3 linked regions of the Yarrowia lipolytica genome follow. The protein of the gene in region 3 interacts with the protein of the main gene of each other region in a biochemical or structural test. Links are inferred from orthologs where the notes say so. Each region holds a gene or a part of one and is shown on either strand. Other genes may lie near its edges. The genes, in order: YALI1_C00913g, YALI1_F02697g and YALI1_B14418g.

Evidence for each region.
Region 1: of the proteins of YALI1_B14418g (region 3) and YALI1_C00913g, one has a biochemical effect on the other in vitro, tested with the Schizosaccharomyces pombe proteins (2 studies listed by BioGRID). The link is inferred for Yarrowia lipolytica from reciprocal best matches to the Schizosaccharomyces pombe genes cdc2 and cdc18.
Region 2: of the proteins of YALI1_B14418g (region 3) and YALI1_F02697g, one has a biochemical effect on the other in vitro, tested with the Schizosaccharomyces pombe proteins (3 studies listed by BioGRID). The link is inferred for Yarrowia lipolytica from reciprocal best matches to the Schizosaccharomyces pombe genes cdc2 and wee1.

Annotation. Positions count from the first base shown.
Region 1 is NC_090772.1:89,056-93,038, forward strand, and holds YALI1_C00913g (uncharacterized protein), read right to left. Parts: upstream 2,342-3,983; coding exon 527-2,341; downstream 1-526. UniProt on the Schizosaccharomyces pombe protein: Part of the checkpoint control that prevents mitosis from occurring until S phase is completed. Plays a key role in coupling S phase to start and mitosis. Acts at the initiation of DNA replication and plays a major role in controlling the onset of S-phase.
Region 2 is NC_090775.1:266,362-271,463, reverse strand, and holds YALI1_F02697g (uncharacterized protein), read left to right. Parts: upstream 1-1,736; coding exon 1,737-4,574; downstream 4,575-5,102. Other genes in the region: YALI1_F02701g (uncharacterized protein), read left to right, coding at 1,235-1,250, 1,304-1,704. UniProt on the Schizosaccharomyces pombe protein: Protein kinase that acts both on serines and on tyrosines. It acts as a dosage-dependent negative regulator of entry into mitosis (G2 to M transition). Phosphorylates and inhibits cdc2.
Region 3 is NC_090771.1:1,440,402-1,443,813, forward strand, and holds YALI1_B14418g (uncharacterized protein), read right to left. Parts: upstream 1,858-3,412; coding exon 1,812-1,857; intron 1,417-1,811; coding exon 512-1,416; downstream 1-511. Other genes in the region: YALI1_B14441g (uncharacterized protein), read right to left, coding at 2,816-3,412.

The sequences.
Region 1 (3,983 bases), on a different chromosome or scaffold from region 3:
CTTGGCCTAGTACAGCTTTGGCAGCATTCTTCGAACCAACTTCAAGTTTGGATATAATTTGATTTGATTTGATATAATTGATTGTACTGCTGTACAGTATTACCAGTATTGTATTGATTCAACCAAGCGGCCATGACAAGAGCAAGATGAAGTGACAAAGATATTTGCAGCCTCGAACTCATCGAAATGCGCGCACACCGAAACGAGCACCTAAATGTTTATCTGTGTATGGTTTATTGGACGCCAATAACCCGGCTTATTGCAAGTACAGTAGGTCAGTATATAGCTGTAACGGATTATTAGAATATTTTTTCTTCTTCCTGGAATAAAAGAAAGCTAACTCGAATTTGACACGGATTGACAAGTACGGGAGCCAATAGTACAGTATGTATCCGTATAAAGGTGGCACACGGCTCACTGTGCTATCATAGAAACTGCTGTCTGATACCCCAGTGGAACTACAAAAACCACATCATCTGGTTTCTCTCACTCTACAGCAAGTTGTTCGTTAATGCAATAAATTAATCTACAAATACTTTTGCAACCACTCCACTTCAATGGCTGATGCAATGTCCATTCTCTGGACGTTGAGAGTGACCTTTCGCTGCACATAGTCATCTCGAATGCCGTACACTTCTCCCTTTGAAGCTCCTGTTCCTCCCTTGGAAGCTCTTCCCTTACCATTGATACCCAGGTTCTTCTTGCCACAGATACCGGTGATGTTGATAACCGAGTACGACTCCAGTGCGCTACAAACATCGAGAAACTCGTTGAATGGCAACGGGGACAGCATGCGGTGTTTCTTGCAGCTGCTGGTGTAGTGATCAAAGAGTCTCTGGATAGTGAGAGGCACATCGACTCCAGAGGTTATGGCTTCAATGGAGAGCTGCTTTTCGGCAGACGCCACTGTGCACAGGACGGCCTTTTGCTGGAGATTGAGCATCTTGATTCGCTGTGAGTTATTTCCTCCAAACACCTGGCTGCATACTCTTGCCATGGTTGCAATTGAGACGACTGGTTTAGAGACTGTAGATGGGTCGTTTTGAGCCAGTTTCTGGATGAACTCTTGTTCAGAGATTTCCAGAGCCTTCCGACAAATGTCAAAGGCCTTTCTCAGGTCTCCAGTGTTTGCCGATGCTTTTCTGGCACACAATTGGATCGCAGCAGGGTGGATGGCCATGGTGGTTGGGGCCACAGCAGGTGTCTTGTCTGTAGGAGTGTGAGGAGGGGTTAGAGTGAGGGTAGTAGGGTCAATTTGAGTCTTTTTGGGTGTGTTCAGGGGGGACAGAATCAAGTCTTCTTCCTTCTTAACGACAACCTCTTTTTTCAGGGAACTGTGCTCCCTGGAGAACTCGTCTGATGCCTTCACAATACGAGACTTGATGATGGAGGCAATCTGAACCGCGTCATAGGGCTTGAATTTCAACAGCTGAGGGTAGAAATTATTCGCCTTGAGTCGTGGCAGAAATCTATCAGTCAAATCCAGAGCATTAGCAATACCAACGAGAATCAACCGCGAACCCTTGCAGAAGGCCCATTCGAAAATGCGAAACAGAATGTCCTGATCTCTAGTCATGATATGGTCGATCTCGTCGAGCACCACGATTGACGTGCCTCGCTCAGCAAACTCTTTAGAAGTCTGGCACATGAATAGCTCCTCGAGTTTCGCCACACTTTTGTCAAACGAAATGTCTGCGGACAAGGCCTCATTCTCCTCAACCCCACTCAACTGTTTGTAAATGAGGTTCATGATGGCTCGCGCGCTCGGAGCCAGCATGCAGTTGATACTAGCAACCTTGATTCCCTCCTTGCCCCGAAATACCTTGTCCATGACTCTCTGAAGGAGGGCCGTCTTGCCTGTACCTGGAGGTCCACTCACGTACAGTGCAGCACCAGGTTGAGAGTACTTTGCCTGCAGTCTGCCTTCAAAGTAACGCAGCAACGTTGCTTCCTCAACTTGTCGACCAACCATTTCCTGGTCAGCAGCCAGGATGTGTCCCTTGCTTCCTCGAGAAAACATGCTCTTGATTTTGTTCAACTCGACCAAGTGGGGATGAAGCGGAGGTGGTGATGCGAAAGACGACCCTGAAGTGGCCGAGGAATCGGTGAATGGATCACATGACTCTCTCGGAGGAGACAACACACGAACTGAGTCGTCCTCAAAACACTCCACCTTGCGTCGCTTCAAACACAAGGGTTCCGTGGACACCCCTCTGTCCACCTCTCCAACCTGCTGACCCCCCATATCTTCTCCCTTGTTCACCTCGAGCTCCTTGAGAGGCACCCGGATGGGCTCCCGTCGCACTCGCTTCTGTGGTCGTTTCGGTGTTGCAACTGCCATCGTTTTGTGTGTATTGAAAAGGATGTGTCGAAAGATGTTACGTGCGCCCTCCCACTTATATCAATTACATGTCTGTTTTTGGCTTAATGAAAAACGCTAATTGTGTGCAGATGCGTTGACGCGTCGGAATGAGCAAAAACGCCAGGAAAACGAAACCAAATCGGGCCATTGCGCGTTCCATTGGAATGGTCACGTGATAAACCATGGCTTCGACGCGTTGCACCGGAAAACCGTCCCCAATATCCTTCAATAGGCGCCCTCATCTTTGCGCCCCTACCGTCAATCCAATTAATGCAATGCACCAGCCTCAATTCTCACCAGAATAAAGTTGGAGGTGAAGGGAATGTGGGTGAGAGAGAGAGAGAGAGGGAGAGAGAGAGAGAGAAAAGGGAAGACAAGAGCATCAACAAGAGAAGAGATGGAACCCGATATATATGACAGTACACTTGTACAATCACGTGACCCCTCCATCCGATGTCGCATATTACTCGTTATCCACTCTGCGCTTCAACTACGAGCCGCTATCCTCTTCATACAGCACATGCGTCAAAGCAAAACACGCGAGGTCACCTACCAGACCGTGCAGACGTGACCCACGCAGGAGGGCGACGCGTGTTGGGACAAGGGAGAGAAAGTGGAATATTGGGGGAGGTGAAATGGATAGGCAAAAACGGACGAAAATAATAGGACAAAATAATGACCATACTAAACAGGGACTGAATATAAGACCAAATAAGACGTTTCAGCGTTCTTTTATACTCTCTCGAACGATTTATATCTATGGTAAGACCATATCAAACGCTTCTTGAAGCACACCACCAAACATGGCTGCACATGATTGACGCAGATCTGGGCTGATGGAGGGCGTGGAGAAAGGATGTGGATAAAGAGCAGTGCTGTGCAAATCACGTGATACAAATCGAGTGTCGATTTCCATGGTCATTGTTTCTACTAGCTCTGAGAGTTGTACCTGTTGTGGGCTTCGTTGGTCTGCTGTTATTGTATGGCCAGCCTCCTCCACTTGTATAGTTGCAGATGTAGAGGATAAATATTATAGAATATCGGGGTTCATTTTAGACAGTATATAATAATGGCAATCTTCAAACAAACTTACTGTATATAATGTAGTTGTATTTTCTCATGGATTGTCCAAGTGATGTGCTGAAATACGATACTTGTTGCCCTGCGATGTTTGCACAATGTATACTGAACAACAATTCGGTCATTTTTTAAAAAAATGACAAGCGGTGGGAAAAAGTGCATCAATAGATTTGGGAGAACATTCCGAGTCCAATGGTAGTATGATATTTACATTTCATGGTGCAAAACAGTATTATTTTCTCATTCTAACACTTCAAGATTGTTCTCTATTTTGTTCAGTAACCTCGGGGCTGATTCGGCCTGTCTTGTCGGGCACCTTTTCAGTCCTGTGGCCCACAAAAGTAACAAACACAGACCAAAGTGACCATTTCTGAAAAGACTGCTTCACTCTCTCTAAACGAAGGAATCTGTGGACGATTGAGGACTGACACATGTCAGTGCTGACCGTCACTTGTGTGCTCAGCAAAAAACAGTATTCAAACAAGACAAGCCATATCCAGAGAGCAGTCAACATACCGTACTCGGCCATTGCCTCAGAAAA
Region 2 (5,102 bases), on a different chromosome or scaffold from region 3:
TTCGTATTTCTGTGGGGACACGTTTCCGTCTTTCTTTCACGCAGTGGGACAAGAGGGTTCACGGGCAGATATCCGCTCTCGTGTCTTAGATAGTGAGCACTTCATATGATAACAGAAGCGAGTCAGGGGGGTCTGGTAAACCCGAACTGTACGGGAAATTACGTTACCCGACCCATACAAGTCCGGCAAGTACGGCTGGTATCTATTGTATTTCGGTTCATACAAGAGGGGCTGTGTGAGACGGGTTGGAAATACTGTAGTCACATGGTTGGCTTGGAATGTGATAAACTGATACAAGTGTGGTCTCGAACTGGTTATATAGACCTGTCGGGTGACTTTCTGTGTGTTTCTAAATCGTCGGATAGATGTCACTCGTCAGATATGCTCTTATATGGGCACAACCCATTCACACACCTGCCCGCTCGCCATACATACGATGTATGTACGATGATCGTCGTCATGTTTGGGTACTGTTTGGAGTGTTACACCTGAAACAAGCGATGGTGAAACATGCAAGATTGACCATATCAAGTCCATCCTTGTTGCTGGGCTGCCGGTACCACGTACGACACGTGTTTATTACGAGACGTATTTTGATTAGAAGCTGACACAAGTACATACAAGGATCGTACTGATAATTTTTGCGTCTACGATTCGTATCTTGATGCATACTATTGTATCGTATTGTACTCATAGCGCAGTTTTGGAACGCGTCTGATTGAAAAAAGTACAATGGGTGCCAAGACCCCTGAATGACAATACGTAATAATAAGGCCAGTGTTCAAATACAGCGATGAAATTGGCGGTACAAATAGGACGAGTTTGACATGTGTTGACGGTGGAGAACGAGCCGTAGGGAGAACATCTGACGAGTAAATTCCTCTTTCTTTTTCCTTCATTCCGTCGATGTCTCTACAAGTGCGGTTCTTCCTTCCACTTGGACCCGTTCACAGATTCACCTCTTCCTCAACTTACTGTACCTACGGAACTCTCCCAACTCTACACGCGTTTACCACCGTGCACTGGGCAATGGTGGCCCGGGCAGAAACAAGCCCGCCAGAATGGAACCATAATTATCTCCCATAATATTCACCTCCGGGTTGCTTCTGGGCTGTCCGTCCGGCTTCACTGTCTTACACCCATCTTCAGAACCGACGAGCCCCCACACCTTCTGTTTTGATGTGTGTGTGTGTGCTCGCTCGGATAGGCTTCTAGGTTTCGCGCTCTGAGGGTGATGGACGCATGCGCCTGTTTGTTTGCCCCCATCAGACCGCTACCCTGGGCCATGCATAGACTTTGGGAGTGACGCACCGCTCCGCACATCATCTCTGGAGACAGACCCGTCCCAATCTCCCCCAACCCAACACCACCATTGTTCGCGTCTCCAAACCCCAGAGGCACCCCCCAAGTGCTCACCTACCGTTCGCGCCACCCACACGACACGTCACACGCAAAGCAGCAGGACCGACCGAGCAACAGGTCTGCGTTTGTGACACGACTGGACCTCCAGAAAAGTTTTGCATTTCTTTGCACACGCTCCTTTTTCTACATTCCTCACCCACAATCGCATCAACTAATTTTTTTTGGGGGAAAAACGCCACCAGACGCGATACACAAGGACGAGACAGACGACACGACAAGAAACAGACGACACAACCTGACCGGAATTACAACTACCGCCAAACTACAACACTCACACCGTGATCGACGCGTCAACACGACATACCCATACTCACATGTACATGAGCTCGGCCACCCCCTCGGCCTCCCCGTCGCCTCGCCGGCGCAAACACCGCCCCGACTCGGTGGCACGCTCCTCCATACCGTCGCTGTCCAAGGTGAAGCTCAAAAAGAGTAAGCCCAACACGCCACAGCTGTCACCGTCGCTGTCGCTTGACGACTCAGCGTCAGACGCCCTTATCAACCTCTCCATCCACCGCAACAACACGGTGGCAAATCTCGACGACCTACCGCCAGACCTCTCGCCGTGCCCCAGTCCCAGCAAGCAGCGCGCCTCGGAGCCCCCCACGGTGTACTCGTCAACCATGCAGCCCCTAAGACGCTCCAAGGGCCTCTACAACCTCGAAGAGGCGTCCAACCTGTCGCTCGAAGATATCAACATGGACAGCAGCCCCAGCAGGAGCCACCGACCGCGCCACTCGATGATACTCCATGATTCTGACCCCAATTCGCCGGTCAAGGCGCCTCCATTCAAAAAGGCCGCCATCCAGCAAGAGAATGTGCCTCCTGGAGGAGGAGGAGAACGACGATTGTCAGATAACCCGCCCACGATCCATCTCATGTCGTCGTCGGTCGAATCATCGCCACCAACACCAACGCATCACCCCCACCACTCGCACCCGCACCCTCATCATCCTCAACCCCATTTGCATCCTCTCGTCAAAACAAAGATAGCTGACGTGGAACACAAGGAGTACGGCACTCCAGACTCGTTCCGGTTCGTCAAACCGCTGCAGACTGCGTTCATGAGCACGGGCTTGCTTTCGAAACGAACGCGCAACCTGCCCAACTCATCTTCTGGCCACTCTCTCGTGCCTCCAGATACGCCCTGCAAGAAACCCAGCGGCAGTTCGAGCTTGCAGGACGTGCACGGACTCAGAGGAGACGGAAACACACCCCGGCCCTTCACCAGCAGTGTCTCCCACGAGGGTGTCAGCATGCTCGGAAGCAGTCACAGGTCTGCGTCCTCCGGTAGAGCTCACAGAGTGCCCCTCACAATCAACACCACCGGCCACCAGAATATCCCCTCAGGCCCTCCAAGCGGGCTGCGTGATTCAGCATCACGCTTTGCATTCGACCTGCGTTCGGCAGTCTCCTCGTTCATGGACGACGTTCCCTCCACGCCTACGAAGCCCCTGGAGGAGAGTGAGTCGTTTCCATCCGTCCAGCGAACTCTCACTACTAACAACCATGATGACAGCAACGGCAGCAGCAGCAATAACAGCAGCACGAATCTGGGACCCTACAGACGAGCGTCTTACATTGGTTCTTTGACATCCTTGTCTTCTCTGGCCAAGGCAAGTCACCAGCGGTCAGATGGGTCGCAGATCACCATTACCCCTGGGACTATCACTCGTCAGGCCTCGTCCATCATGGAACCAGAGACCCCTCTTGGAAATGGAGACAATCCCTTTAACTCGCCCAACTTCTCCAGTGATCCTACCTTTGCAGATCCCCGGACACCGGCCAAACGGTCTTCCCAGGACCAATCTGCTGAGAACATGATTGCTGGCGAGTCGTGGCTTAGTCAAAAGTTTGACAGCGTCTCTCTGATTGGATCTGGCGAGTTTTCATCCGTTTACACGGTCACCGAGCGCGTTAAGATGCCTGCGGGTTCCTCGGTCATCCTCACGCCGCCCAACCGTTACGCTGTGAAGAAGATGAAGTACCCCTTTGCCGGCCCCAAGGCTCGTGCTCGACGAATGGAGGAGGTCGAAGTTCTTCGTAAGCTGACCGAGTCGAAACGTGACGAAGACGGGCGCGATTTCATTGTCCAGCTTGTCGACTCGTGGGAGTACCATGGATTCCTGTTCATCATGACTGAGTACTGCGAAAACGGCAGTCTGGATGTTTTTCTGGCTGAAAACGGCCGAATCGCGCGTCTGGACGACTGGCGAGTGTGGAAGATTCTCGTGGAACTTGCCCTCGGTATCCGGTACATCCACAACGAGGGCTTTATGCATCTGGACATCAAGCCAGCCAACGTGTTCATCACTTTTGAGGGCACTCTCAAGATTGGCGATTTTGGAATGGCAACAACATGGCCAGCAGCTCGGGGAATCGAGCGGGAGGGAGACCGGGAGTACATCGCTCCCGAGGTGCTGAGTCGACAGGAGTACGACAAGCCTGCGGATATCTTTTCGTTTGGTCTGATTATTCTGGAGATTGCTGCCAACGTGGTTTTGCCCGATAACGGCATCCACTGGCAGAAGCTACGGTCTGGCGACTTGACCGATGCTGGTCGGCTCTCTTCTGGCGACCTGGCTGGATTTGATCATCAGTTTGGAGAGCCTACTTCTTCCCAGGGCCAAGAACGAGACGCGATTGAGTGCGGGAGCAAGTCGTACGAGGAGGATGGGGGAGTGCTGAGTCCATCGTGCATGCCTCCGTTTGACCACCACGGTATCCACTCGTCTTCTCTCCGAAGCTGCACCACGGCTAACACCACCTCTTCTAGCGGTGTAAGCACCGGTTCTTCCAGGTCTGGCACTGCTGGAAACGGTGGAGCCAGCACGGGCAACACTTCCAGCTCGACAAACATGCATCCCCCAGTGATTAGGCGAAGCTCTGCGGCCCCCGACTGGGCTCCTTTGTTCCTCACCCAGGATCTCGGTATTCTGGATTCATTGGTGTCTTGGATGCTGACTCCTGATCCTCGAGGCCGTCCCACAGCCGACGACATTCTTGCCACCAGTGAGGCTGCGTGGGTCGAGCACCATCGCAAGGCTGGCGCTGTAGTTTACGAGGGCGATTTTGGGCCTCCTCCGGGCAACTCAGATGACGATATGTGCCATATTTCTCCAGATGAAGATAACTGGCGGATGGAGTTGTGATTGAAAGGGTATGTATGATAGATGAGGGATTGAAGGATATTGGGAATATATTTATTGCATATTTAATGATCATCGACATTGAGTGTCATGGGTGCGGGATGTAGGAACGTCTGAAAGGGGCTGTACATAATGTGCAGTTGTACACAGTGCTGTAGACATGTTCAGATATACGTACATAATCGCAGCACTCACATTAATGGTTACCGTGACTTTGGTGGTCTGATTTAAGATCTGCTACTAGTGTGGATGGTGAGATGCTAGTCTATTTGGGTAATGTAATTGAACAGTCAGATATGATATGATAACTACAAGTAGCCATATGTCAGACATGTACCTCGTAGTAGCTGTACAATAGTGACATGGTCTTTGGTCATGTTGTGTATGCTTCATGGGTATGGCCAGTTTGGTCGCAAAATACGACATGATAATAAAGAGCAAAGTTTAGATGTTAGTTTGAGCAATCCATGGAGTGGGGGCAGGGGGATTGAGTGTGGATCTAGCTTGTCAGGGCAGTCCTAGCGGGTGGAG
Region 3 (3,412 bases):
ATTCACACTATCTTTACAAGTAGCTAGTAGAGCTGCAAACATGCCCTTCTCAATCTATAATTGCCCACCTCATCATGATCCTAAGAAGGGATGTCCCTCATACAATTTAACTGTAAAACAAATGCTCTTACGCACGGCTATGCTTCTTACTGTATATACAACTCACTCATACTCGCACGGCTGTATCCATAATAGAATACAAGCCTGTCAGCTCAGTCTCAAGGTACGATACTGTACTGTCCCATTGTAGCTTCTATACAAAAGTATCCAAGTAAAGACACGCGTCTGACACATGCACTAGTTGTACTCATGCTGTCGAGACACCATGGAGAATGGCTACCGTACAAGCTTGGCCAGTAATCGTATCGGCACCACTACAATCGACGATACAATTTGCAGTACATGCCATGCCTACACTCCACGCAACCACTAATATGCCATGTAATCATTATAGAATCCTTCTCAAGTGTAATATCAATCTCGTTCATAGACCTTTCTCCTCCGTCTCCAATTATGCTCTAGTGGACATCATGAGCCCCGGACCTGCAGCAGCGTTATATCCACTCTTCATGTTGGTTCCCACGTCAAAGTAGGCGTGGTCGGCAGCCCGCTTGGCCGAGATTCGGCATGCAGGATCGTATGCCAGCAGATGCTCCAGCAGATCGAGACCCTCGTGATCCAATGGAGTCACTGTTCGACCAATGTCTTTGCGGCTCCACTGGGGGAATGTGGGCTTGTAGTCGGGAAGAGCTGTCACGCCGGGCCAGGTCTCCTCGGTGGGGGTGCCCAGCAGTCTGAAAATCTTGAAGATCTCGTCAATCTCCGAGTCTCCGGGGAACAGGGGCTTTCGGGTCACCATCTCGGCAAAGATACAGCCAATGGACCACATGTCCACACCAGTGGAGTATTGTCGACCTCCCAGAAGAATCTCAGGAGCTCGGTACCAAAGTGTGACAACCTCGTGGGTATAGGTTCTGAGAGGCACACCAAAGGCCCGGGCCAGACCAAAGTCGGCCAGCTTGAGGTTACCCTCCCGGTCGATGAGCAGGTTCTGGGGCTTGAGATCCCGATGCAGGATTCTGTGTGCGTGGCAGTATCGGGTTCCCAAAATGAGCTGGTTCATGAACTTCTTGACCATGTCGGCGCCGAGACCTACGCCGGGCGAAATGCTCTCCATGTACTTTTTGAGATCCAGGTCGAGGAACTCAAACACCAGGTAGAGCTTGTGTGAGTCGGAGTGGACAATGTTGTAGAGCGACACAATGTTGTCGTTTCGCATTTCCTTGAGCAGTGAGATTTCTCGAATGGCTGTGGAAGGCACTCCCTCGTCCTCGGCTTCCAGTCGGATCTTCTTCAAGGCCACCAAACGGTTATTGTTGAGAGTATCTCGTGCCTTGTATACCACTCCGTATGTTCCTGAGTTAGTACGAATAGATGCGGTGCTGTGGATTTTTCAGAACTGCTCGTGTAGACACGCGCCGTAACGTGTCATGAAGTTCTTCCTTGTATCTCGTCATGTGTGGGTCTTGTAGAGCTCACAGGCGCTTTTGCGATGCTCGAGGTAACGGGATGATGTAGACCTACACGAATACACCGTACTGTCCCAGAGTCATATCAACGCTCAACACCATGTGCCACACAACTAAGGTCTTCATCATCACACCCAAGTTCCTCCACAGCCTCTTCACAAGTCAACAAACACTCCAACCACACATCATACTGACAGCAGTGGCCGTAAACAAACCGCTCCAGTTGTACATCTCTGCGATCCCAAACAAGCATGCAACCGCTCCCGATACCCAAATACTCACCCTCTCCCACTTTCTCCAGCTTCTGGTAATGATTTAAGTCGACCATGGGTATCTGATAATGCTGCGTCACTTAACAATTTGCCATGTTGCAAACGTTTTGGTTTTGATGCACCCATCCCTTGCCCGTTGCGGGGGCAACCACTCCTCCCAACCCAAACCCAAACACTCAATCGGACACGGTCTCCTCCCAATAGGGAACCCAGCAACAACGCGTCATGTAAAAAGCTTGGTGTCTCCCTCCCAACTGAACCACGCTAACGCTCAAAACGTGAGCTGCCACATGCGGCTGCTAATTACAGTATTATGACACGGCTGTCCTTAGGATAAAAGAAACCAAGCGTGCGAGTGTACAAGTCATACTACTTATACTTATACTGTTACAGCCGAGTAAATAAGTGTATCACGCGATACAATTACGCCTGCGTATGGTGTCATGTGACTGCAAAAATCACATGATGTTATCATCATATGACCACGCGTCCCTCTTCACCTGTTTTCTATTGTTTGGTCGTTTACTGCGCTGTTTCATGCATGCTATAGCGTGGGTCTGAGATGTCAACCGCGAGACAAGGCCGCCAACAGGCAGGCACATGTACAATACGGTAAAGAGACCTAAACGCAGACTCCTACTTGTAGTGTGGCCAAAGAAAAAGCACTGCGCCTGTCTTCTGAGATCAGCCTACTTACTTACCCCTTGATCTTCGTATTCAAAGAAGATGATCAAGATGATCTTCGCGTTTTTTTGACTTCCAGATCAAAGGTCCATGGAACAGGAAGCGCGACCTAGTAGACTGAGGACGTGAAAAAGCTGTGATACTGATGTTCTCGAAGACTCCCTACAAGTTTTGTGCTGATTATTATCAACAGCGAGTCCACTCTACTACTCGTGCGTTCTACGGTACGTACCTTACTACAAGGATGTACTGGTATATTACTCATCTAATTATACTGTACACTCCATAGATATCCACCTATTACTGATTAAATATTACATAACACCCAGACTAGTTCTTGTTGGCAGCGTTGGCTACAGGGATACCGACACCCAGACCAACGGCGAGAGCCACAATGATGAAACAAATGAGCAGACACCACCACTTCTTCTTTCGGTAGGCTCGGGCCTTGATGACGGCCTTGTTGGTGTGCCCGAGACCCTGCTCGATATCTGTCTGCACGCCCTGGGTCTGGTTGTCAATGTGCTGCACAGGGGCCTCCTGCTCGGCCACAAGCAACTCCATGTCGTGGAACAGCTGGGCCAGCTCCGACATGGTCTGCTCGATCTTCTGGATCTCCTTGTGTCGGTTCTGAACCTCGGAAAGGGCCGTCTGAGCCTGTCCTCGTCGGTTGGACGTCATCAATGCTTGGGAGAAAATCTGCTCGCCCTGGGCGTCGTCAATGGCGGAACGCACCTCGGCGTCAGTGGCCTCGGGGCGCACAATTCGGTATTGCCGCTCAGCCCGCTCTCGGTATCGCTGTCGGAACGTGGCCTCGACGGTCTGGTACCGCTGGATGGAGTTCATGAATTGCCGCTTGAGGTTCTCGGCCTGTGTCTTTTTGGTAGAGTCTCTGGTGGATCGCGATTGCAGGGACTTGATCCGGTC